3 linked regions of the Alligator mississippiensis genome follow. The protein of the gene in region 3 purifies or fractionates together with the protein of the main gene of each other region. This does not show direct contact. Links are inferred from orthologs where the notes say so. Each region holds a gene or a part of one and is shown on either strand. Other genes may lie near its edges.

What was found.
Region 1: the proteins of TACC3 (region 3) and ENAH purify together in Homo sapiens (co-immunoprecipitation; 3 studies listed by BioGRID and IntAct, with this or other methods). This does not show direct contact. The link is inferred for Alligator mississippiensis from reciprocal best matches to the Homo sapiens genes TACC3 and ENAH.
Region 2: the proteins of TACC3 (region 3) and CKAP5 purify together in Homo sapiens (co-immunoprecipitation; 5 studies listed by BioGRID and IntAct, with this or other methods). This does not show direct contact. The link is inferred for Alligator mississippiensis from reciprocal best matches to the Homo sapiens genes TACC3 and CKAP5.

The regions. Positions count from the first base shown.
Region 1 is NC_081824.1:180,332,215-180,340,225, reverse strand, and holds the start of ENAH (protein enabled homolog), read right to left. Parts: upstream 5,309-8,011; 5' UTR 5,294-5,308; coding exon 5,286-5,293; intron 1-5,285. UniProt on the Homo sapiens protein: Ena/VASP proteins are actin-associated proteins involved in a range of processes dependent on cytoskeleton remodeling and cell polarity such as axon guidance and lamellipodial and filopodial dynamics in migrating cells.
Region 2 is NC_081825.1:227,538,685-227,546,695, forward strand, and holds the start of CKAP5 (cytoskeleton-associated protein 5), read right to left. Parts: upstream 4,484-8,011; 5' UTR 4,387-4,483; intron 579-4,386; exon of another isoform or gene 489-578; intron 1-488. UniProt on the Homo sapiens protein: Binds to the plus end of microtubules and regulates microtubule dynamics and microtubule organization. Acts as a processive microtubule polymerase. Promotes cytoplasmic microtubule nucleation and elongation. Plays a major role in organizing spindle poles.
Region 3 is NC_081825.1:17,675,518-17,683,528, reverse strand, and holds the start of TACC3 (transforming acidic coiled-coil-containing protein 3), read right to left. Parts: upstream 4,046-8,011; 5' UTR 3,943-4,045; intron 1-3,942. UniProt on the Homo sapiens protein: Plays a role in the microtubule-dependent coupling of the nucleus and the centrosome. Involved in the processes that regulate centrosome-mediated interkinetic nuclear migration (INM) of neural progenitors.

The sequences.
Region 1 (8,011 bases), on a different chromosome or scaffold from region 3:
GTGTGATGCAGGCCAGGGGCTTCAGTGGCACTGTGGTGGTAGGTGAGTTTTTTTGCCTATACTGCTGCTGCAGTCAGAAGGGAGGGAGAAAAGAAGCAGTGGCAGGATGGGTCCAACTTCCATTACGTTCATTACATTGATGCAACTTTCCACCAACAAGTGCAATTTTGTTTTAACAGTGGTAGATTTTATACCACTAAGCAAAATAATAGTTAATAGGACTATTCATGCTTGCACCTGTCCAAGTATTATACTGCCTACAACAGTTTTATAGAGTTCAAATAATGCTCTAAGTATCAGTGGGATTTAAAAGAAAAAAAACCAGAACACAGTGCTTAATTCATTGCATATTTATAATAGCACAAATTCAGGTTAATTTCATAAAACAGAACCATATTTTAGTTAGTAATTTAAAACTACCCCCATGCGAATTAAGATTGGGGTAACTATTGGGAGGGTAGACAAGCAATGCCATATGAACAAGGATATAAATCAATATCCTGAATTGTAATAAGAGACATTTTAGTTTCTAGAGGCAGAGATTCCACAACTTCTCTAGGTAGCCTGTTCCAATGCTTGACCACCCCTACAGTCAGAACGTTCCTCCTTATCATTTACCTAAACTTCCTTTGTTGCAGCTTGAGGCTCTTAACCTAGTCCTGTCTCGCACAGCCACAGAGAAAAGCCTACATCTGTTCTCTCTACAAATTTCCCTTCGTGTATTTGAAGACTTAACCTGGAGGCAATACCTAATGCACAGCCCGTAGGATGGGATCAGGACTGTGGAACTGTGTCACTCAGCCACAGCACTCCTAGAGAAACTATGCCTACTATTGAAATCTGGGTTATGAGATCCCACTGGGGGTACATGCTGGCAGCAGGGGTTAAGCGATGGGTGGAGTCTATCCCTGTGGTGACCATTGCCAATTTAGATCCAGCTCAGGGAGCTGGGTGAATACAACACCCCTGTCTTACATAAATCCATTCATAGTGCATTTCATGCTCAGTCCCATGCTATGAGGCTTAAAAAAGGGCTTGTCCCACTGCAGCCCATCTGTTCTGCCCTCATGTTTTTGCAGTTTTGGTGACAATCATTTACATGGCAACAGGCTGATAGCCAACAGGTGTTAGACTTGACTACAATACAGTTACAGAAAAAGTTCACTATTTAGTTGGCCTAATAAAAGCTACATCTACCCAAAGAACCTTGCTTGTCTCATTCAAAGAAACAGTGTGACAGCAAAGATCAATAACAATTCCATATGAAATCCTGTCAAACTAGATTTGTGATTTTTTTTAAATCAAGTACAGGTGTGTACACTTCACTGTGCAAAAACAATGGACCTGTCAATTAAAATGTTTAAGGTAACCTCCTCACTGAAATGTTCGCTATGTACCAATCTGCATCAAAATTTGCTGCACTAACCCTATAGCCAGCAGTGTGCTCTGTGTGAAGCTGTACATAGATCTTTGATGCCAAGCAGCTAACAGTCTCAACAGACAACCTAAGAAACTAAGAGAAATGTCAACTTTTCTTAATGTTTTGAAAATGTACTTTAGTGTTTGAGAGTTTAGCTTAAACTAATTTGAAAAGAAAAAATGACCCCTGCGATACTGAAAGAGAATGTTTTAAGCATAGAAGCCATATAAAGAGTGGCGAAGCTGGCTTAAACCAGTACGGCAAAACGATGAGCAAAAGTAATAACAAATTGTAACAGAGAAATAGGTAAAGGAAGAGTGAAGTAAATCATGAAAAACCTTAAGCTTCAAAAATTATCTAATGCTTTTAACTACAGTTTTACTATCACTCCAATTATAAAATAGGTGATGAAGAACAGGAAGTAGTAACTTGTGAAAAAGAACTTCACTGCACTGATACGAATGGACCAACAAGAAGCAAAATGGAAATTAAGGATGTCAAAGTTAACGAAACCATAAGGTGGCAAATAAGGTGTGGTAGAATCTAGACCTTTATATAATGATGGTTCCCAACCTGCTTACATTTGCACCAAGTTACCAAGTCAAGATAAAGCCAACTACACTAGTGGTTCTCAACCTTGTTAAACTTGAGGCACCCCTCAAAATTCCACCCCTTAGGTTTTGTTCATTTATTGAGTGCACAAACATTATAGAGCAATTTTTGTTGTTGTAAATAACTCCAAAAGACTACAACAGGTCAGAATGTTTTTGACACTCTGGATTCCTATTTGAAATCTCTGGGTTTCTCTTAAGAACCCAAGTTTGCACACATAAAAGTGGTAACATCACATTTCACCCTGGTTGAAAATCAATGCACTGAACTGTTCACTCCAGCTTTTACTTCAAATTACATTCTTTCTCCACACAGCTGGCTGGAGAAAGGGTGTACTTTAAAATGAAAGCTGCAATAAATGGCTGGAGCACCTCAGGAGTCTCTCAGTGCTGTTTGCTGTGGCTAGTTCTCAAACCCTCATCTTTACAGGACAGTAAGGAACCTAAACTTGCAAAGATCCAGGTTGTACTTTATCTATCTTAATATACTAATATGGTGCTTCTCAACCTTCAGTCCACCAGCCAGACACAGAGCCAGATGCAAAGCCAGTGGGAACATCTGATTGTCAACCAACATGTCAGCATGGGTGAACACTCCTGCTACTAGTTCCTCCTTTCCCCTGCTACTAAATTCAGTGATGGGGAAAAAGGGCTATAAGCAGCAGCAGTGTTCATGCATGCTGACATACCAGGGAACTCTGAGCTTTCACGCAGCTCAGGAGCTGATCACGTCACAGTTACTGCTTGGACCCTCTTTTCCTTGCTCTAGCTACATCACCTCAAAGTAATGAAAACCCCATTGCTCTGGGGCACAGCATGGTCCCAACCTGCACTGCATTTCCAAAAGCACACAACCCTCCCTTTAGGAGGTGCTAGTAGGGCACTGGGAATCACAGACAACTGAAATAAGATACCATGTTGCCAGCTAGGCAATCTCCATCTGTCATTTGAGAGAAATTCTTTAATTATCTTGTACAAGATTATGGTTGGTCTTATTTTTGGTAATGATTTTTAAAAGTTTAATTACGTTTAGAATTTTTTAAATAATACAATAGTATACTGAACTTTTACTTTGTATAAATAAGCCTAAAATACTAGAATAAGTAATGTCGGAAAGGAAAACCATATAAAATACTTAATATTAGGATACTCCAAAGTATAGAATTATAATGTTTTTCTATACGGAGAAGCTCACGTCCTTGGTTAAAAAAAGGAAAAGAAAAAGAAAATGAAGCAAACCTTAAAATAGTTGAACAACACTGCTCTAATAGAAAATAAGAAAAGCAGGGGGAAATTGGCAGAAACTAGCAAGTAACAAGCTGACTCACCAAGTGTTATCAATTAACGTGGAACAAGATTTTTTATTGGGGGGGGGGTTTCATTTATTTTTTTAAATATAATTTATACCCTGTTTTACAAAATTATATGCCAAAAGTTAATTTAGGCAACTGGAAATTGGGTATCATCAAGACCCTCTAAAAAATAGTTAGACTTCTGATTTTATCCAACTTTGATCTCAAAAATAAATAAATTAATGGTTTCAAAATATCTGGCTTGATGACTCAAGAACAGATAAATATATCCAAAATAAAAGGTTTACAGCTGCAAGTTGTTTAGTTAAACTCAGAAATTACCCCTCAGATCATCCATATGTTTTTTTCCTTCAATATCAGGGGAAAATAGCATGAAGGGAATAAGAGATTACTAATACCAACATGAAGAAATTTTCATCTAACTTTATACGGTGAAAAATTCATGTTTCCATCAGACAAGTCAACAAAACATGCATCTTCCTATGTTTCTAGTTGCCTCATACAAAGGAAGGAAAAAGAAATAACTGAAGGAACACATAGAAATATAACCAATACACTTCTTACTCTATGCAACTATTTTTTTTTAATTGAACTAGATTCATAAGACTCTTAACAAGCCTTGTTAATAATAAAAATTATCTGTAACAATACATAAGATTACTAATGTATCTTAAAATAAATAACACTTCTAGGGACTAAGAATTACATTTTACACATTTTTGACTCATTAAGCCCACCCTCTGCATCACCTTCACATAAAACTAAACATCTCATCCAAGAGGAATCTCAGCAACTGTATTATCCCAAATCCCTCAAGGTATCTATGTTTGGTAAAAAAAGGCTCAGAGACAGTCTGAGCAGAAAATTTCATTGCCTGAAGCATTCTATTGGCTGTCAGACTAGTAGTCTTGCACTAAGATCACTTTAAGTAAATCAAAGCAGAGATTTATGAATCCAAACATATCATTCTTTAATGCTTCCTATGCTTTTTCTCAGAGAATGTCTGCATAGAAGAGGAGCAATTACAACACTAGCAGTACAAACAACTCAGAATTCTAAATAATTTTTAAAAGAGACTTTTTGATTTTATATTCATTTATTATTTCTCAATAGTCTCAATTTATATAAGAGACTACACCACTGATGCTCCACCAGGGTGCTGCAGCATCCTCCAGGGTACCATGCAACATTTGGGCTGTTTAGTATGCATGGTTCGCAAGACAAACCAAGAGATTTTCAATAGGAATCCAGTGTCAAAAACATTTGTTGTGGTCTTTTTAATTTTTTTTGGAACAGCATTGCTATATTATTTTTTCATAATCAAAAACTGAGGGAAGGCTAAGAGCTGGCACTTTCCAGGGGGGTGCTTTAAGACCAAAAAAGGCTGAGAGTCACTGTACTGGATATTAGAAGAACAGTCATGCAAAAACATCTTTGTACCCTTCACAAATTAATTTATGCCTTATTGTGACGTTTAATGCAAAACATATGATTAGCAAATGATATCAGCAGATCATTTTCTCAACTTCACCTAGAAAATATGGCCTGTTCTTTGACACTTGTGGTCAGAATGTTTACTGACTAAATACCAAAGTAATTTAACAGCCAGATATATTTTAAAAATCACTTTCCAAGCAGCATTTGAAAGAAGTTTGGAACAATCTTCAAACTAATGATTACACGGATTACAAAATGAGCACATTTTATTAAATAAGGCAATTTGATTTTATATGAAGGTCTAACAAATCACAACAAACAACCCAAAGGAAAAAAAATATTAGGAATCCCCTTAAAACAAATAAAATAATCTGCATTCTATCTAGCAAAAGCTAGCCTCAGTAGCAACTACTGTATTTACCTGAATCCAAGACAAAACTGAATTTAAAACAACTACCCAGTAATTAGATTCTATATATAAAAAAATCTATTAAAATGCTATACTTTTCCATGTAGTCAGCAGTCCCTCAATATCAGGGTGACAGTCTTCCATAAATAGGGAAGTCATTAATAAATCTGGAGATGAATGAGGAGACCAATGCAAGATCTGCATGTTGATTGCAGGCATGGTATACAGTTATAGAAGGAAGTGGATCCTGGTGATGCTGGGTCTCAGCTCTTTTCCTTTGTCCCTCTCACCTATTCACCTCCATAATGAGACAAATTTGATCAAAATGGTCAATGCCTTGTCATACTCAGCCAGGGATGATTCAGAGCTCAGGTCCCCCAAGTATTGATGTCAATATCACAGTTCTTCAGATTGGTCTTTAAGCTGTCCTTGAAGCTCTTCTTTTGCCTACCTCTAGAAATGTGATCACTGGCAAGTTGCGAGTACAGGACCTGTTTCAGGAGCCATTTGTCAGGCATCCTTATGACCTGTCCTGCCTAATGGAGCTGGTGCTATATATAAACATGGCTTCAACACTGGTGATCTTTGCTTGAGCCAGAACTCCAATATTCATTATTTTGTCCTTTCAATTGAGGTAGAGGATTTTCTGAAGACATCATTGGTGGTAACACTCCAAAGCTCTCTGGGGCTTCTGTTAAGCTGTCCGAGTTTTACACCCACACAGCAGGCTAGAGATAACAACAGCCTGACAGACAAGAATTTTGGTTTGGGTCCTGATGTCATGATCAGGGACACAATTTTGTAGATGTTCAAAAGGCAGCAATGGCAGATTTTTTCAGTGCTGAATCTAGAAATCATCATCATCCACGTTTCCATTTCTGGTAAGGGAAATACTCAAAATTCTCCAAGTATTACCCTCTAATTGTAATGTGTGGGGGAGGAGGGAGCAGCTGGCTGTTTTGGGGCAGGTTGAAAAAAGTATTTTGTTTTTTTGTGCAGTTGACAATAAGTCTAAGCATTTCACATGCTTCACAGAAGCAGTGAGTGACCTGGATCTCTTTGATCAAGTGGATACATATGACAACAGCATACTGAAGATCAGTAATGACAATGTTGGTTATCATGGATTTGGAACCTATCTGGTTGATGTTAAAGAGATTCCCCAGCCACACAGTACTGGATGCTGACTCCAGATGGAAGCCCAGCAGCAATGAGATATGAAATAGCTGCAATATAGATAGAAGAAAATGTTAGTGCAATCATGCATCCCTGCTTGACTCCAGGAGTTCTAACAGCAAAGGAATTAATTTCTGAGCCACAGCTTACACTTTCTCATCATGTCATCATCACAAAGAAATCTAATGATGGCAACAACTTCTGATGGGCATTCAAATCTCATCAGTATCTTCCAAAGGGCCTTTCTGTTGATTGAATCAAAGGCCTTAGGTCAACAAAGGCCATATAAAGATCTCAGTGTTGCTGCAGATAAAGCCATGTGTTGATTTTGCTATCTGGACCAAAATTGTTACTCAGATGCGAAATGTCCGCTTGGCATACACAAGTGTCTCGTGACCTTTTGTTTTACACTGACCAACAGACAACATGCAACAGTCATCAGTGCTTACGCCCTGGCTGCACATGATGAAACTAAGGAAGAATCCTATTCTAAACCCAGCCAAGTCTTGTCATCTGCCCCCAAAAAAGATAAGACCATTCTTGGGAATTTCAATGCTACACTGGGCAGAGAATCTGAACTATGGAAAGGAACACTTGGAAAGGAAGGGGTGGGAAAAGTCAATTCAAATGGAATTTTCCTTCTGAGCAAGTGTTTGGAATGTAGTCTTATCATTACAAACTCCCTATTCAGTTACAGAAGAAATGAAAGACATCATGGATGCACCCCCTACTCAAAACACTGCAGAGATATGCTTAAAAGGGGTAAGTGGTGCTTTCAGCAGTCCATCCAGTTGCTCACCTCCACAGAAAACTAGGGCAATCTTATTAACCAAGGATCAGGGCAGGTGTGCTGGCTCAAGTGCTTGGCCCAGCCCGGCATGGTTAATGAAGAAGACACCCTGACAATATGTTCCATCATGCCCATTCATCACCCCAAAATGGTGTAAGCAAAAGAAACAACCAAAGAAGAGGTTCAATATTATTAAGTGCTTGAAAGACCCTGATAAAAGCAATTATTTCCAGCAGTACTCTCCAACCTCACTGATGATATTGACACCACTGATCACTGGGAAAGCCTCAGGAAAGGCATGCTTGAGTCATGAGAAGAATCTCTAGGCTTCTCCACAAAGAAATATCAGGACTGGTTTGATGAGAATGATAAGAAAATTCAAGTTCTCATTGACAAAAAAAGGGGGGGGGGAGTGGGAAGGGTAGGCAGCAGGGGAAGTCAAGCAGCTTGCTCCCTGCTCCTTGCTCCACAACACCTTGCCCTTGCCACCTGTCTGTCCACACCACTTACCTCCCCCACTATCCTATGTTTGGGCTGGGGTTGGGGCTGGAGCAAACATGCGCTGTGGCCCAGGCTGTGGAGAGGCTAGAGCCTGCTGAAGCTGGAGCCAAGCTAAGCAATAGGGGGAGTTTTAGGGGGAAAAGAGGAGGGAAAAGCAGGGAAAGGGAAGAAACAGACAGGGGAGCAGAGACTGTGGGGTACAAGGAGACAGGGAAAGAGGTAGCAGGGGGATGGGGACAGGGACAAACAGCAGCCTTAGCTTGGGCTCCAACCCTAGGTTAGGGCCAGGGCTAGAGCTAAAGCAACAACAGCTAAACCTTGTAAACCAAATCCAAGACAAGGGGCTTTTTCTAC
Region 2 (8,011 bases), about 210 Mb from region 3:
GCTGCCTCCTACTAGATAACCTCCCCCTCCAACGGCATGCATGCAGCTCTCCTTTCCCACCCCCAACCCACTCCCGTCGGGCCTTCTGAAAAGGCAGCCCTCAGTGTCCTTGCTCCGTTCATCAGCCTGCGGCTCATGCTCTACCCACAACCCCTGCCTAAAGCTCAGGCCCTAGACGCCCCCCCGGCGATGCCCAGTAGGGCCCCACCTCCCCCGAAGGCCGCAGCTCGCGGACATTTTGCAGCGAGCAAGCAGAGCCGAGCCGAGCGGAGCAGAGGGGCGCCGCAGGCCCAAGGAGCTCGGCCCGGCCGGGGGCTGCAGCTCAGTTCGAGCCCCCCCCCGGCCAGCCGGCCGGCTGCAGCCGAGTAGGCCGCCCGCCCCGCATTGTTTATCCCCGCAGCCTCCCCTGCCCCGAGGGCCCCGACAGCGCAGCCGCCACCCCCGATCGGGGCCTGCGTGGCCCAGGGCGCAGCAAGCCGGGCACTCACCCACCGACAGCCGCGGCGCGGCGCGGCCCCGCTTAGCAGCAGCAGCAGGCGGGGAGCTGCATTTCTGAGCCCGGCTAGGAAGGAGGCGCCTCCTCCGGGGCGGGGCGCGGAGCGCTGCAGCCGGCGCCGCCTGCCCCCGCCTCCCGCCATACCTGGGAGTGAAGGGAGGAGAAGAGGAGCCGCTGCATGTGCCAGACAAAGGCGATCGGGCCCCCTTCCTCCCGGCATTTCACCGCCCCGCGCCCTTGCCCAAACTCCAGCCCCTCCCTGCCACCCCAACGAGCCGGCGTCGCCCCCGCGGAGCCTTGGCTACTGCCTTCCTCGAGAGCTGCACAGCCGCGCCTGGCTCCCTCTCGTGGGAGAGGGCGTGGGCCGCCCCAAGCCACCGGCCCGTCCCGCCTTGACAAGGCACAGACTCCTCCACGTTGCTGGCGGTGAAGCCACTCCCTGGACCAGCAACAACCAACACCATGCTGCATGGGGGGTGCTGTCTGGGAGGAGGAATTCATGCATCAGAGCCTCAAACTTCAATACTCCACAGGGTTTTAGCCGGAGCCCCCACCCAAAAACATATAGCTAAAAGCCACGAGCAAGTTTTTCAACATTTGTGTACAATGGTGACAGATGGGTCATTCCCCTCCCCCCACCCCAAGTTGCGTGGCATGCAGTATCCAAGGCCATTTAATGAGATTTAGAATTACAGCTTGGCACTGGGGAGGGATCAGGGGTGGCAGTGAAGGGCTGAAGTGATAAGATCTTAGGCTAGGGGTGTAAACCTGTAGCCTGAAAAACAGAGTAGGTTCCAAGAAACACTTGAAGGTGTAACCGGTCACTGTCAATGCCACTTCCTTTGTTGTTTGAGATCAAGGCACCCATTCTAGAATGAAGGCTGCACCCAAGCCTGGTACAATGGAAGTATCCATACTTTATGCCAGACTGTGCCCCTCCAGCCTTCTGCTCAGATAGCCTGAAGAAAGGGGTTTGGCTCTGGGCACCAGCACAAACTCTGCTCAGGGCCCAGATTTCTGAAGAGCACAACAGCTGCCTCTACTGAATGTTTGGAAGTTGCTGTAACTAAGCTACTTAAGTAATTGTTTCTATGCCACCTTGCTTCAAAGCATAGATGCCCAGCCTCAAGTGATCTGCAATAACTCAGCTCCAGTCTCCTTAGGTTGGACAGATGCCCAAAACAACAGCCTTGTCCACATGGTACAGCCAAGGTTTAATTTAGTTGTAAATCTACCAGGTTTTCCTGCAGCACGTTTTAGACTGCTTCTCCCCACCTCAAAGAGTCACAGGGGAGGCTCACACTTGGCTGTTCTATACTGTAAGGCACCTGCAACAGTTAAGTTGATGCCAGAACGAAAACAACAAGGCTATTATGGACTGAGATCATCCATTCAGTTCCTTCCCAACTTTGCACAACATCCATAAACCAAGTCATAGTACATCAGTGGTCTGAATGTATGGAACATTAGAGGTTTTTTAAGACAAGAATACAGGAAATTCAGAATAAAAAAAATAACCAAGTTATCCTGAACCTATAACAAAGTCAAAGGGAAGGGGGAAGAAGGGGTGAAGGAACCAGATGCATATTGTAACTTTCTGTACAAGAGTTTCTTTTTTGGCAGCATCATAACTTTGAGTGCCTTAATGTTACTCATATATATGGATATGCTGCTTGGGATCTCTCTAGTTGCTCACCATGGAAGCTTACAAGTTAGACTGTTAACAAACTGGAGAGAATTATAATTATTCTCCCTCAGATATTCAAATCCCAGTTTTTTCCCCCTCTGTTCTTTGTAAAGGGCCCAAATTCCAGATGTTGCTCAGCAAAATTGGGGTTCATGCTTTTATTTGACAGCTTTTAGGTCAAGGGTCATTAGACATGCAACTAGCATCTTTTCATATATGTAAAGTTTAGGTGGTTAGATCATAACAGAAGGAGAGCAAATGTTAGCATGGAAATGCCTTAAATCACAATCCAGAAGAGAAACATGCACGTAAAAAAAGAAAGAATTATGTTTTACAATGCATGTATTTGGTTCCAATACATCAAGAAATATAGGACACCTTACATCTCTAGAGGAATGTTTAAGATAATTTGGCCAGTTTCACCAGTTTTCCACCCTTCAGTAACAATCTAGGTCTTTTAATTGCATGCAGATCTTACTCACACATACACACACACCCTCTAGTTTTCTGAGCTTCCTGAAAATTATTCACTATGTTTTTTAACTCCAAGCTTAGTTGCCTCTGTTGAGAGCCATGTTAGAAGCACAGGTTACTATCCTGGCTAGTATTTAGCTCAGTATGCTTTGATGTAACAATTGCTTTTTTTCAGAACAAAAGTTGCAGGTCAAGGAAAATACATGGAAGTTTTCAAAACAGAAGTTTCCTTATCCTTGCAGCATAGGAGACCAGAACAAGGCCAAACTTGGGAAAGAGACGCACAGAATTAGGTCAACTTCTGACAAGCTCAGCTGATCTAGCATTGGATGCTGAGAAGTCAATACCTACACAGACAGTGCTTATTCACTTGACTGCCATCTTCTTGGTCTCATCACTTGTATTTCATGAGTATATGACAAACACACCTCTACCCATATTAAGTTTGGTAATCTTTTTTTAGGTTTAAGCATTGGCCAGAGGTTACCTGCCAGCATATCTTTCTAAATACGCATCTTTGAGGGCCCATGGGCTGCAGAGACAGACTCTGTGTAAACTCAAAGTTCATATGGTATCACCCTGCTGACAGCACAGCAAAACCCTCTCACTACAGACAGTCCAACAACAAAACAAACAGCTCTATTCCTTCTGCAAATGAGAATTGGAAGAGTTATGCAACATACAGGACCAACAATCTCAGATTGCAGCAAGGGAAGCTGAGGTTAGATATGAGGAGAAACTGTCTCACTAGGTGGGTAGTAGAGCACTGGAACCGGCTACCCAGAAAGGCTATGGAATCTCCATCCTTAGAGGTTTTTAAGACCCAAGGAGTCAGAACTGGCTGGGATGATTATCACTGGGGACGGTGCTGCTTTGCGCAAGGCTGAAAACCACTAGATAAGTGGCTTTCAGCCTTTTTCATTTTGCAGACTCCTAAAGAAGTTGGAGCGGAGGTGCAGCCCCCTCTGAATTGTAAGTGTGGGTATTTGCGTATTTTTCATGGATCACAATCATCTTTCACACACCCCTTAGACACAGTCTGCAGACCCCCAGAGATCCACGGACCACAGATTGAAAGCCACTGCACAAGGCTAGACTGCCTCCTCGGTCCCTTCCCACTCCCGTTTTCTCGGATTCTCTATGCAGCCCTGAAATTTAGTGCCCATGACGACAGCTGCCTCTTAGCCAAAGAAACAGAGAACCACCGCCAGGCAGCTGGAATCAAACTGCTCCAGCGGGCGCTTGCACAGGGGCTGAAGAAACCTTGTGGCTCCAAGGCAGACGAGGCGGGCCCCGGACAGCCAGCAGCCCGGCTGAACGCCTCGTGGATCCCTACTCCTCGCACGTAGGCTGCGGCCAAGGAGCAGCCGCAGGCAAGCGGCAGGATGCGGCTGCCCAGAAGCCCGACGGCCCCGCGTCCCACCGGAGACTAAGACACGCGCTACGCAGAAGCGGCCGTCACCGAGCCGCAAGGCCCTGGCCCGGTTAGAGCGGCCCGGCCAACCCCGGGGCACCCACGGGCAGCGACATCGAGGCTCTGCGCCGTCCGTGACCCTACCCCTGCCGCTACCCGCCGCCGGCGCCCGGCGAGGGGGGAGGGGCCGCGCGCGGCGGCCGGCACCTGGGAAACCCCAGGGGTCGCCCCGCCTCGCTCGGGCCCCGGCAGGCGGGAGGGGAGGGGAGGGGCTGGGCTGGGCTGGCCAGGGCAGGAGCGGGTAGCGGCGCTCACCTAGGCCCGGCTTGGTCGAGCGCGGGCAGCCGGGAGCCTTCTCAGCAACAGGGTTTGAAATCACTACCCCGCCCGCACCTCGCAGTGTCCTGAGCGTTCATTGGCCGCCGCCGGCCCCGCCCCCACCGCCTCATTGGGTGGTTTGAACGCGGCTTGTGCCACGCACGGAGCTGTGCTCTTAAAGGGGCAGCTGCAGGAGGCCTCAGGCTCGAGACAGTAGAGGATGTTAGGCCCGGCCTAGCTGAGCCTAGGGTGCGGGCCTGCAACTTGCCAGCCTCCAGGGAGAGTGGCATGGCCAGAACCAGCCCTTGCCTCAGAGGGGCACTGGGCTGCCTTAGGCCCCTGCCACATGTTACTCATGTCACACAATGGTGAATCATACAGTAAGTATAGGCCAGCCGTGCTTGCAAAGGGATGATCACTTCATGAGCATACACAACCAGCTCCAAAGTTAGTGCTTGAAAACATGCAGTAATTTTATACCTGGGTTCTATCCAGCTTTAGTTTGAGTGACAGGGGCCCTCTTAGATGAACTAGATGGGAGTATGTGCACACAAGGTTTAGTGGGTAGCGATACATCTAGATATAAGCATAGGCAGATCTAGGATTTTGAAAGGGAGGGTACAGACTGAAGGGCATCAGCACATAAAATACAACACATTTTTCTCTAGATAAAAATAGGAAGGTTCCTTTACAAGATAGGGGGCCAGAACTGGATTATTCAGTTTAGGATTGAAGTAAAACCAAATATAACTTCATTGGAATGAGTTAAAAAAACAATCTGCAGGGCTATGAATTGGCTGCTGTGGGAATGAAGCTCCTAACACACAGCAGAGTTGCAAAACAAAGGCTAGATTGATGGGAGGAACATCACAACCATTAAAAGGAAGAGGGTCATTGACAACTGGAATAAAGAGTTGAGAAGGAATCAGGTGTATTAGAATGAAACAGAAAGTCAAGTAGCTACCTCAGCACTGTCTGACTAGATTTGCTGCTACTGCCAGGCAGTTGATTTAAAGTGGTGGAGCAGGATTGGTGGGTGGATGCAAGTGCACTAGTGCACCTCTCCCTGATCCACCCCTGGATATATGATGCACAGAGAAAGTACAAGCTTTCTGAGCTTCTGCTCACTTCATCAGATGCTGGGAAAGGATATGCTGAAAGCAGAGTATCTGATGACCTGAGCTCCAGCCCAGGAAATATTGTGTTCACAGTCTGTCTTGGTCAGATCTACCCTGACTTCACCCTGGTTGAGACTCGCCCATGTAAACCACTCTTACAAGTCTTATGCAAGTACAGCTGCCAGCAGTTTGCTGACTTGCTCAATTTGGGTGGTGTGAAATTTGCCAGGTGCTCCCAGTGGCCTGCGGGCTTGGTAGACAGGGAGGAGGAGGACTCCTTCAAAGTATTAAAATGAATCAGTCACATGAGGAAGACTCACCTGCCAGAGATGGAACTTTTATACCAACTTCATCAAGACACTGGACCTAAAAAATGATTCCATAACTTTGGTGCAGGTGCAAATAAAAGCAAAAATCTGGTCTTTTGAATTCACTTTCTTACCAGAATGTGACTTGGTTTTGCTGATTGTGCCAGGATTAAGACTTCTGTATTTACTTTCCAGGGCTGAGATATCAGGGACAAGTTTTCTATAAATTTTACATGGCAGAATCAACAGATTTAGATGTTTACTCTGCACTTGTGGTATCCAAGCATTTAAAGCATTGGTTTTCTACCTTTTTATAGACTCCTAGCTTTTGTGAATTGAGCAACACTCTATTGCAAAAACTAATTTATTACAGTGCTAACCTCACTGCAGAGAGGCTGGTCATTGGGAGGTGGGCAGCAACCAGGTAGAGAATAGACTGAGCCCACACTGATCTCCTTACATCCCCCACCCCAGGGTACCCTAACAGCTTGTTTGAGAATCCCTGATTGAAAGCATAGTACGAATCTTGTCTAGAATTAGAAGTCTAGAAAACTACTCATTTAAAAAAACTGTATTAAACACAAAAATCTAGAATGTATTTAGAGTAGGATTTTAACCATTATGTGTATCCTGCTTAATCTTAATTTCTCCAGTAAATGTACATGGCCAAATTTCACTCTGGCAGCGATGCTTTCACTAAAGCTAAACAGTGGTGAATTTAGGTTCTGCTACAGGCATCAACAGGTGTATTGTAGTAGTGTATCATTTAGTAATTAGGACTGCTAAATACTATAAAACGGCATGCTACGCAGGAGGACAAGCTAGCATTATGTGAGCTTTTCATATTATGGTTTCTTATTGTTCAAAGACAATATAATATTTGGTTAGTTTACAGTTAAATTCCATTTGTTTGGTACTAGCAGCACAGAAATGTACACACAAGAAAAGAGAACTCAGCTCTTCCTGCTGATGTAGTTGAATATGCATTAGGTGTGATATGTACTTATGCAGCTCTAGAATCTCCCCAGTAAAACAACAGAACATATGTACACACCTAAAAAGCCTTACTGGTGTAGGCTGGAACTAATTTGGTGTAGAAAATCTGTCATGCAGGCACAACACAGGTGTCCTTTTCACCCTGCTCACTTTCAACAGCTGAAGGGATTAAGGGAAAAGTAATCTCAGGGCAGAGTCTAAAGTGAAGGACTTCAGTCACAAACATAGATGCTCTTGGAAAATTACAATTATGGGAAAATGGGGTTAGATTTTAAGACAGGTTGTTAACTATCATCATGAAAAGAAACGGCAGTATGTTTCAATTATTCAGCACTGCCTTTCTCCCCCCAGTATATTCAAAAGTCAATGTTTATAGTGAGGAACCAGCTGTCAGAACATCTTGCTTCTATTCTCTGCATGGCTTACTTCATAAACAGAGAGAAATTACTTCCTGCAGGGATAGTGGTAACATCCTCCACTTCCACAGCAGAACTGATGCAAAGTTCATTAACCTCTGTAAAGAGATTTTAGACCTTCATAAGGAAGAATCTAGAAAGAGTCACTGGTAGCAGCAATCCTGCCTTGTATTTGCAGTGCCATGATTAAGCATTTCATCCATTACCCATCTTATTTTGCCCAATTTAAAAGATTCATTAGTAGTTATTTAGAGATATTTAAAAGTGCCAGAAAAACAATGGACAAAGAACTCAGGAAAGGAATATAGCTTCTGCTCCTTTTCATCCCCGCTCTGATCTCCTCAGGACTACCCCTTTCCATTAGGAAAAGGCAGGGTTTACACCAATTTCGTCACCATGGCCTGCAGAATTAAGCTACTCTTGCTTTTACTGCCATGCTAACCTAGTAGTGAAGGGAGAAGGCAGTGAGTTTGCTGCATTTAAAGCTGTACTTGGATCTTTTTTGACACTGGGCCCCAGTTCAAGCTTCAACTGGTGGAAGTAAGTCATGTTATAGTCAGTTTGATGGTCAGCAGATTCCACCCATCCAAAATGCTTATTAAGCATGCAAACAAGGACCAAGGCTGTTCCTTCAAAGAATGTGGGTAGTATACATGACTCACAACCCAACACCAGGCAGAGTGATTAAGAAAAGCTAAATTTATATTAAATTATCATCAACCCCTAAAATACTGAACATAGTGGTTAAATAACTCCAGAAAGTCCAATGTCTCCAGTGAGTAAC
Region 3 (8,011 bases):
CCCCTTTCTACTGCAAGAAGAATTTCTCCCTGTTAGCTCACTCACCCCAAGGCACCCCACCTAGGACTTGAACTCTGATCTCCCATGTGGTAGGCAGAAACTCTCCCACCCAGCCACCAGTGCTAGTACTGCTCTAAGCTGCTGGGGGCTTGACCTTCCTGGTGCCCCAGCCTCAGGACAAGCTGCCAGACCTCTTATTGGAGGAACTGAAAGCAGGGCTGGGAACCTCTCAGGTCACTGCTCAGATCTTTGCTGGAGCTGGGGAGCCTCTCCTGCTAGCCACAGCCTCTCATAAATGATCCTGGAGCCCAGCAGGATGCCTCTCGGCTGGCTGCACGCCGCGCTGCTGAGGGTCCAACTGCTGCCTGCAGGTCTCGCTCCTTCAGGCTCTTCTGGGGCAACTGCTCCCGCCCCACTGGCCCAGCTCTTTGAATCTCCTTCCTTGTGGTCCCTGGCTAGTCTCCCCTGAGTCAGCTGCGCTGCCCCTTTTATCCCCCTTCAGGTGACCCAAGGGACCAATCAGGGGACACGGAGGGTGAGTCTCTGGGGCCTGACTGGTGAGGAAAGCGAATCCTCCAATCATCTTTTACCCCTTCAAAACTCCTGGGCCAAATCATTACCAGATTGGTGAGGAAAGGGAATCCCAAGTCCTCCAATCATCTTTTGCCCTTTCAAAACCCCTGGGCTAGGTCACTGCCAACTAGCCCGTCACATATAGAAAGCATAGAAAGTTAGGGTTGGAAGGGACCTCAAGTGATCATCTAGTTCAACCTCTGCTCAAAACAGGACCATCCCAACTAGATCAGGCCAACCAAGGCTTTGTCTAGCTGGGTCTTAAAAACCTCCAAGGATAGAGATTCCCTCACCTCTCTGGGTAAGCTGTTCCAGTGTTTTACTACCCTCCTAGTGATAAAATTCTTCCTAATATCTAACCTAAACCTCCCTTTCTCCAACTTCTGTCATCTGCCACCACTGAGAACAGTCCAGCTCCACCCTCTTTTAAAACTGCCCTCCAGGTAGTTGAAGGCTGCAATCAAATCCCTGTATGTGTCTTCTCTTCTCTAAACTAAATAAGCCCAGTTCCCTCAGCCTGTCCTCATAAATCATGTGCCCTAGCCTGCTAACCATTTTTGTAGCCCTTCGCTAGACTCTTTTGTTGTATTTTGAATCATTAAAATAACAGTTTAACTGCTACTGGCCTTTCAATTTGCCAGAGGAAGTCTAGCTGAATTACAGACATGGTCAGTGGAATTCCAGCAGCGCTGAAGATAGCAAATTACTTTAATTCAACATTTGAGTAAGATCTTACCTGCATACATTAGATAATGGCTGTAAGTGCTATTCTATGGTCTATTTATACAATTATGCTCCTGTTATACTTGTGATATTACTGCATAATTGGGTGTAGAATGGGATAGAGCTAAGGCTGTGAAAGCCATCACTGAGCTTTCTGTACAATGTATACAAAACTTCACCATTTGTGTTGGGTTTGAGCACGGGATAGTTAAGTACAAGTACCAGTCTGGGATTGCTTTCTAGTGATGCTCTTGAACAGGCAGTCAGCTCAAGTTTTTCAGATCAAGTGCATGCACCCAATCTGAAGCTAGAAGAGGCCCAGTTGAAATACTAGACCCCGCTTCAGGTTTGACAGTTTAGGCCAATGTTGCAGCACCCTGGGTTGCCTTGAGATCTTTTCAAGGGTGCCACACAATGTAATCACTGCTCGGCGTGCAAGCCCGAGTCAAGATAAATTCACCCAAAGAACCTTGTCTAAAATTTCAAATAGGAACCCATAGTATTAAAAGCACTCTCTTCTGTTGTGGTCTTTCCAACTTCTTTACAACCAAAGAATGACTCTATTATTTCTCTGTAGTCAAAAAACAAGTAACAACCAAGAGCTGGCCTTTTCCAATGGGTGCCCTGAGACGAAGGAGACTGTCTAGGAAACAACAGACAAAGCCACACACAAATCCTGAATGCTTAAGGTTTGCAATGAGTTTGCAGCAGACACGAATGGGATTATTGTACTCCAGTACTACTAATCCAGTTATCTGGGCAACAAACAGCATACAAGTATTGCTGACATTTTAGTCTTAGTCTGCCTTTGTGACCAATGTTTAGACCTTTAGTCATGTGCAGTCTAAACCCTAACTAATGCTTAAAACCTAATGAGAGCGACATAGGGCTCATGCACAACACCACAGAAAGTCTCAAAGTAGCATTGGAGTGGTCCTGTAGCTGGGATGGTCCTGGAAACACGAGTGAAACACAGAGTTTTTGACAATATTTCTTGATGTCCAATACAACTCAGATCACATTTTGCATAGAAAAACTTAGTATTTGGAAAGAAAACTAACTACAGCCAACATGGTTTCAAATGCAGCGCTGATACCCTTGGCAAACGGGCAGTCTGTAAATCCCCAATGAATGCAAGGCCTGCTGCAAGGATTCAGTTATTAGTGACACACGGGATTGTATTACAACAGGGATATCAAATTCTTCTGGCCCCAAGGGCTGGATCAGCGCCATTTCCCCATCCCCACGCTCCTTGCCAGATCCAGGGCACATGACCCCTGCTCCTGCTGGTCTGGGACCTGGCAGGAAGGGGATCAACATCCTCGGTGCTTGGCTGCCACTGGGTGAGGAGGAACGAGCCACAGGGCTGTGCTGGGGGTCTCACTCACCGTGGCTGTCACTGTAGGGATATGTCCCATTGAAGTGAGAATTGGGGAAAATTGCTATCTGGCCCATGGGACATGTCTGATACCCCTCTACTTTGTTGTGATTTGCACAACAAAGAGCACATCCCAAAGACACTCTCATGGACCCAGAGGGACAGATTTCTAGCTTCAGCCTCCCCTGTGCAAAAATGAAGTTGATTTCCTACCGATGGGGACTTTTTACCATCTTTAACTTTCCCTGAGCCTGATGAAGGGCATGTGAGCCCAAAAGCTTGCTGAAAAAAAGATTTTTTTTTTGCAATTTCTCGGTTGGTTTAATAAAAGGCATCATCTCAGAAGCAACAGTTCTGGATTTTTTGCATTTCTTTTTGTCTCAAGCCAACATGGTGACCAAATACACTACAGCATTTGAGAAGGACATCTCAGGCGCCTGGGACAGAAGTTTCATAAACTGGTTTGACCCAAACCAGCTAAGTCTGATACTACATTCAACCCGGTTTATCTTAAACCAGTTCCAGACGTTTTGAAACGGGTTGATGTGCATTGAACTTCTGTTCCGTTAGAGGTTTAAACCCGTTTTTGATGACTTAAACTGGTTCACGTGTAACTTCTGTCCTTAGCCCAAGGGTGGAAATCAGGTAGGACGAGCAGCAGTCAGCACCTATGGGATCACATCCAGCACGCTTAACCGTTTTGAAAAGTTTATGCAATTTAGAGAGAACCCTTAGATTATTTTGCTAATTAAAATATTAGTCATAGAAGTCAGACAGAAGTCGGGCTGGACGGGACCTCCAGGGGTTATCTCGACCGGCCCTTGCCCGAGGCAGGCCCCACTACAGAGGAAGGCAACGTCCCCCTGCATCTCACGGGGGAGACATCCCTTCCTCACCACAAACAGCCCTGGCACACTGCCCTCCTCCACCCCTTTATTCACTTTTGTGACAGACTTGTGCATAGTTCATATAGAGTTGATAGTGTGCAAAAGGCAGAAGTGTGTGTGTCCTTGCGAGGGAGAGTGAAAGAGTACATGTGCAAGGGGGGGTTCGCGTATCTTTGTGTGTGCATATGCAAGGGCGAGTGTGCATGTGTCTTTGTGTGCCCGTGTGCAAGAGGAAGAGTGTGCAAGACAGGGGAATGTGCGTGTCCTTGCGTGCGCGTGTACAATAAGGGGGGGCGTGCGTGTGGCTTTGTGTGCGAGTGTGCAAGAGCACGTGTGCAAGGGGGAACTTGCCCGTGCATGCGAGCCCTGACCCGGCCCTACCTGCCTGCCGAGCGGCCCTGCCCGGCCGGGTGCCCGAGCCCACAGTCCACCTCTACCTCCACCTCAGCCCCGCGCGCCGCCGCCGGATTTCAAATTTCAACGGCGCCGCTCTCGCCAATGAAAGGGCAGGAGCTGCGAAAGGCCGTGGTGATGCCTGTCTGAATGGACCAATCAGAGAAAGGTAGAAGGGCGGGACAGCCGAGCACTCAACCAATAAAGATGTTCCGGATGCTGGAAGCAACCAGGGGGTGGGGTGCTGCGTGAAGCACGCTGGGAAATGTAGTTCGCGGGGCTAAGGCCACTGCCCTGCTCTTCTTCCAGGAGTGAGAGTTAACCCTGGAGGAGCAGAACGAGGTCCTGAACCACGTGATCTCGGGGAAAGCAATGAGAGGCTAACATTACTAGAGAATTAAAGACGAAAAAAACCTGCTTGATTTAATATAAATAATTTTTTTCTGCTTTCTTCCAAAGACAAATGTGTCATATTGAATGAACTAGTTTGAATGTTTGTAATGGTTGCCCATTAGCCAGTTTCAGAAAGAAGATAAGATTTATCTCCTTATCTAGGTCATTGTTTTGGACTACGTGTAGAAGATCCAGACTTTGCTTAAAGTTTTAACTCTTGAATTTTATCTTTAGAAGTCTTTAACAAAGAGAACCTGAAAATGATCCTTAAAGCAAATATCCTGAGTGCGGAGAGATCTAACCCTAGGGCCTTTTCGAAAAGATTGGAAAGAAAAGGTCACTTGCAGTGATATGGAAGTTCCCCAAAGTCATTAGAATTTTCAAGAAAGAAACTGATTACCAAGCAAAAGAATCTGTTGAGTAAGATCTGAGCCCAAATTTGGGGGTAATGACAGGTTTGAGTAGGAGTGGCCCAGGACGGTAACTCACTCAATAAAAACCGTAACTTACTCTCCCAAATTGGAGGTGACTATACTTGCAGAACAATGAAGGAAGAATCGCAAGCGTAGACCGGATCAGACTGATCACCTGAACCACCCTCTCCGTGAACACGAATCTCTTAGTTCACGCTGAAGCTGCAGAGCGCCCGAAAGGGACTGAAAGAAGGGGACTTAGTCCTATCAGTATTGAGGCCAGCCCATTGAATTGTATTGCTGAGGCGAGCCCATTGAACCGTACTGCTGTGGCCAGCCCATTGAATCGTACTGCTGAGGCCAGCCCATTAAATTGTACTACTGAGGAATGAAACCATATTTAGGTGTTTGGCTTCTCGGAATTCTAGGATTGTAAGTATATTATGCAAATAATAGTATTGATTCAAGTGTAACTTTTAGTTGTAATTGTAGTTGTTTTTGTAATACTAATTCTTAAAGCATTGTTTGAGAAGGAAGCGCATTCGGAGCATTGTTTCTGATATATGTAATTATTGTGTTCTTAATTTTTGTGGTATTTCTTAAAGCTAAGCAGTGTTATATGCGTAGCAAAGAATTTTAAAATAAAATTGTGTTGTATGAATTAAGTGTGTAATCATTGTGAAATCGTGCAATCAATACTTCCCCAGCCAGTGCATCAAAACGAATCAGTAAATTGTGTGGGATTTTCTCTATTCCATAACCCACTAGAGACAAAATGCTGCAATGTTTCCTGTAGGGTGCTGGACGTGCCCCATAGCTTTCTGTCTCAAGCAATACAAAATATTGTTTTAATGTAACGTCATTTTCCAAATCATGATCTTGCCTCTTACAAATATTACTTATAGACTCATCACTCCAATGCTATCACTGCACTGTCATTATTCTTCCCTAATAACCTCTGCAAGCAAATCACAAGTTAAAAACCTGCTGCTCTTAGTCTGTTTTAATTGCAGATTTACTGTGAAACTTGCTGCGCTCCAGCTCTTGAGTCAGGAAGGCGGCTGCATTAGCCAGAGACCGTGCTACAACTATAGAAACAATTAAATCTCTTAGGCTGAAGTGCCCTACAATGAAATGCTGCAACCTCCTTTGCAAGATCCACACTATTTTGGTTTAAATATGACTTTATTGGCAAAAACAGGCACATGAAGCGTTAGTAAAGTGTACAAAGAACCAAGAAATCTGTCCTCCATTTGCAATGTTTCAGCCATCTGCCAAGATGCAGATCCCTAGAGTGTTTGTGGTTTTACTCTCTGTCCATTTGTTGTTAATTTTTAATTCATGACAAGTTAGGGCCCCATGAGATGCTCTCTGTCCTCTAGGGTGATGCAGTTTTCCTCTTTAATAGGAAGCCTCAGATTATGGCTGTTTATCCTGAAGTGCAGGCTGTGTGCCCAGCGCTGTTGAAGACAAAAAAACCCTAATTTCTGCTGTTATTTTTATGACCAGTAGCCACACTCAAGGAACAAGGGCTAGAAGGGACGTCCAGAGGTCATCTAGTGCATCCCCTTTCCTGAGACAGGATCAGCCCTATCCAAACATCCCACGCAATCCATAATCTAAACCAGGCGTTGGCACCGTTTTTCGGCAGAGTGCTAAAAACACCCACAACCTCAACTTGTAAGATGTTGGTGTGACAGGAGCAGATGGCAGGGGAGCCATGAGGGGTCCAATCCTGCCCTGGTCCCTTCCCCACCATCTGCCCCGAGTGCATGTGCCAAGCAAAATGCCTTTGCAAAATGCCACACTCCAGTACCCATGCTGGGGGTTGCCTAACCCTGATCTAAACTCTACTCAGGATGCCCACCCACACAGACGTGACACCCGAATCTGCCACGCATAATGCAGGGAAACCACAGCACCAACATCCTGCTTCTATGAAATGTTGTCAATACAGGCTCAAGACACCGGGGTAGAGGGCCTCTGCACCCCAGTTGGTCCCCATCTGACCAGGGGTTAAGTTCTTTCCTGACCCCAAATGGTCCGGGCACATTTCCCTTTTCTTCTCCTACCCTGCATCTTCCTCTCCCCCCCTTTTTTTTTTCTATCCTCTCCCCACTTAATTTTTTGTGACAGATGTGTGCATAGTTCATACATAGTTGATACATGTGTGTGTGTATGTGTGTAGGTATGTTTGTGCATGCATTTGTGCAAGTCTGTGTGCATGTGTGTGTACATGCATTTATGTATGCATGTATGTGCATGCTTATGTCTGTGTGCATGTGTGTGCTAATGTGTGTGTGCACTATGCATGTGCATGTCCATGCTTATGTGTGTGTTGGTATGCTATGTGTGTGTACATGTGCATACTTTTGTGTGCCTGCACATGTATGTGTGCATGTGCTGGCTTGTATGTATGCATGTGTGTTGTGTGTGCATGTGCATGCATATGTCTGCATGTGTGCTCTGTGTGCATGCTAATGTGCGTCTGCATGTGTGCTGTGTGTGTGCATGTACATGTGCCTGCATGTGTGCTGTGTGTGCATGTGCATGCTAATGTGTATCTGCATTGTGTGGTTATGTGTGTACTATGTGTATGCATGTGCATGCTAACGTGTCTGTGTATGCTCTGTGTGTGCATGCTCATGTGTGTGGTTGTGTGTGTGCTGTGTGTGCATGCTAATATGTGTCTGCGTGTGTGTGGTTATGTGTGTACTGTGTGTGCATGTGCATGCTAATGTGTGTCTGCATGTGTGTGGTTATGTGTGTACTATGTGTGCGCATGTGCATGCTAATGCCTGTGTATGCTGTGTGTGTGTGTGTGTGCATGCTAATGCGTGTGTGCATGTGCGTGGTTATGTGTGTGCTGTGTGCGAGCGTGTGTGCGTGCTTATGTGTGCATCTGCATGAGTACTCTGCGTGCGTGTGTGCGTGCTAATATGTCTGTGTATGCTGTGTGTGTATGTGTATGCATGCTAATGTGCCTGCATGTGTGCGTGTGCATGCTAATATGTCTGTGTATGCTGCGTATGTGTGCGCATGCTAATGTGTCTGTATGTGTGCATGTGCATGCTAATGTGTGCTATGTGCGTGCACGTGTGCATGCTAACATCCACGCGTGCGTGCACCGGTGCAAACCCCGCCCCACGCAGAGCCCGGGGCTTTGGTGACGGGGCGCGCGCCGGGCGGGGCTGCTGGGGGCGGTGCCGGACTACGGCTCCCAGGCAGCGGCGCGGCGCGGCGCGGGGCGG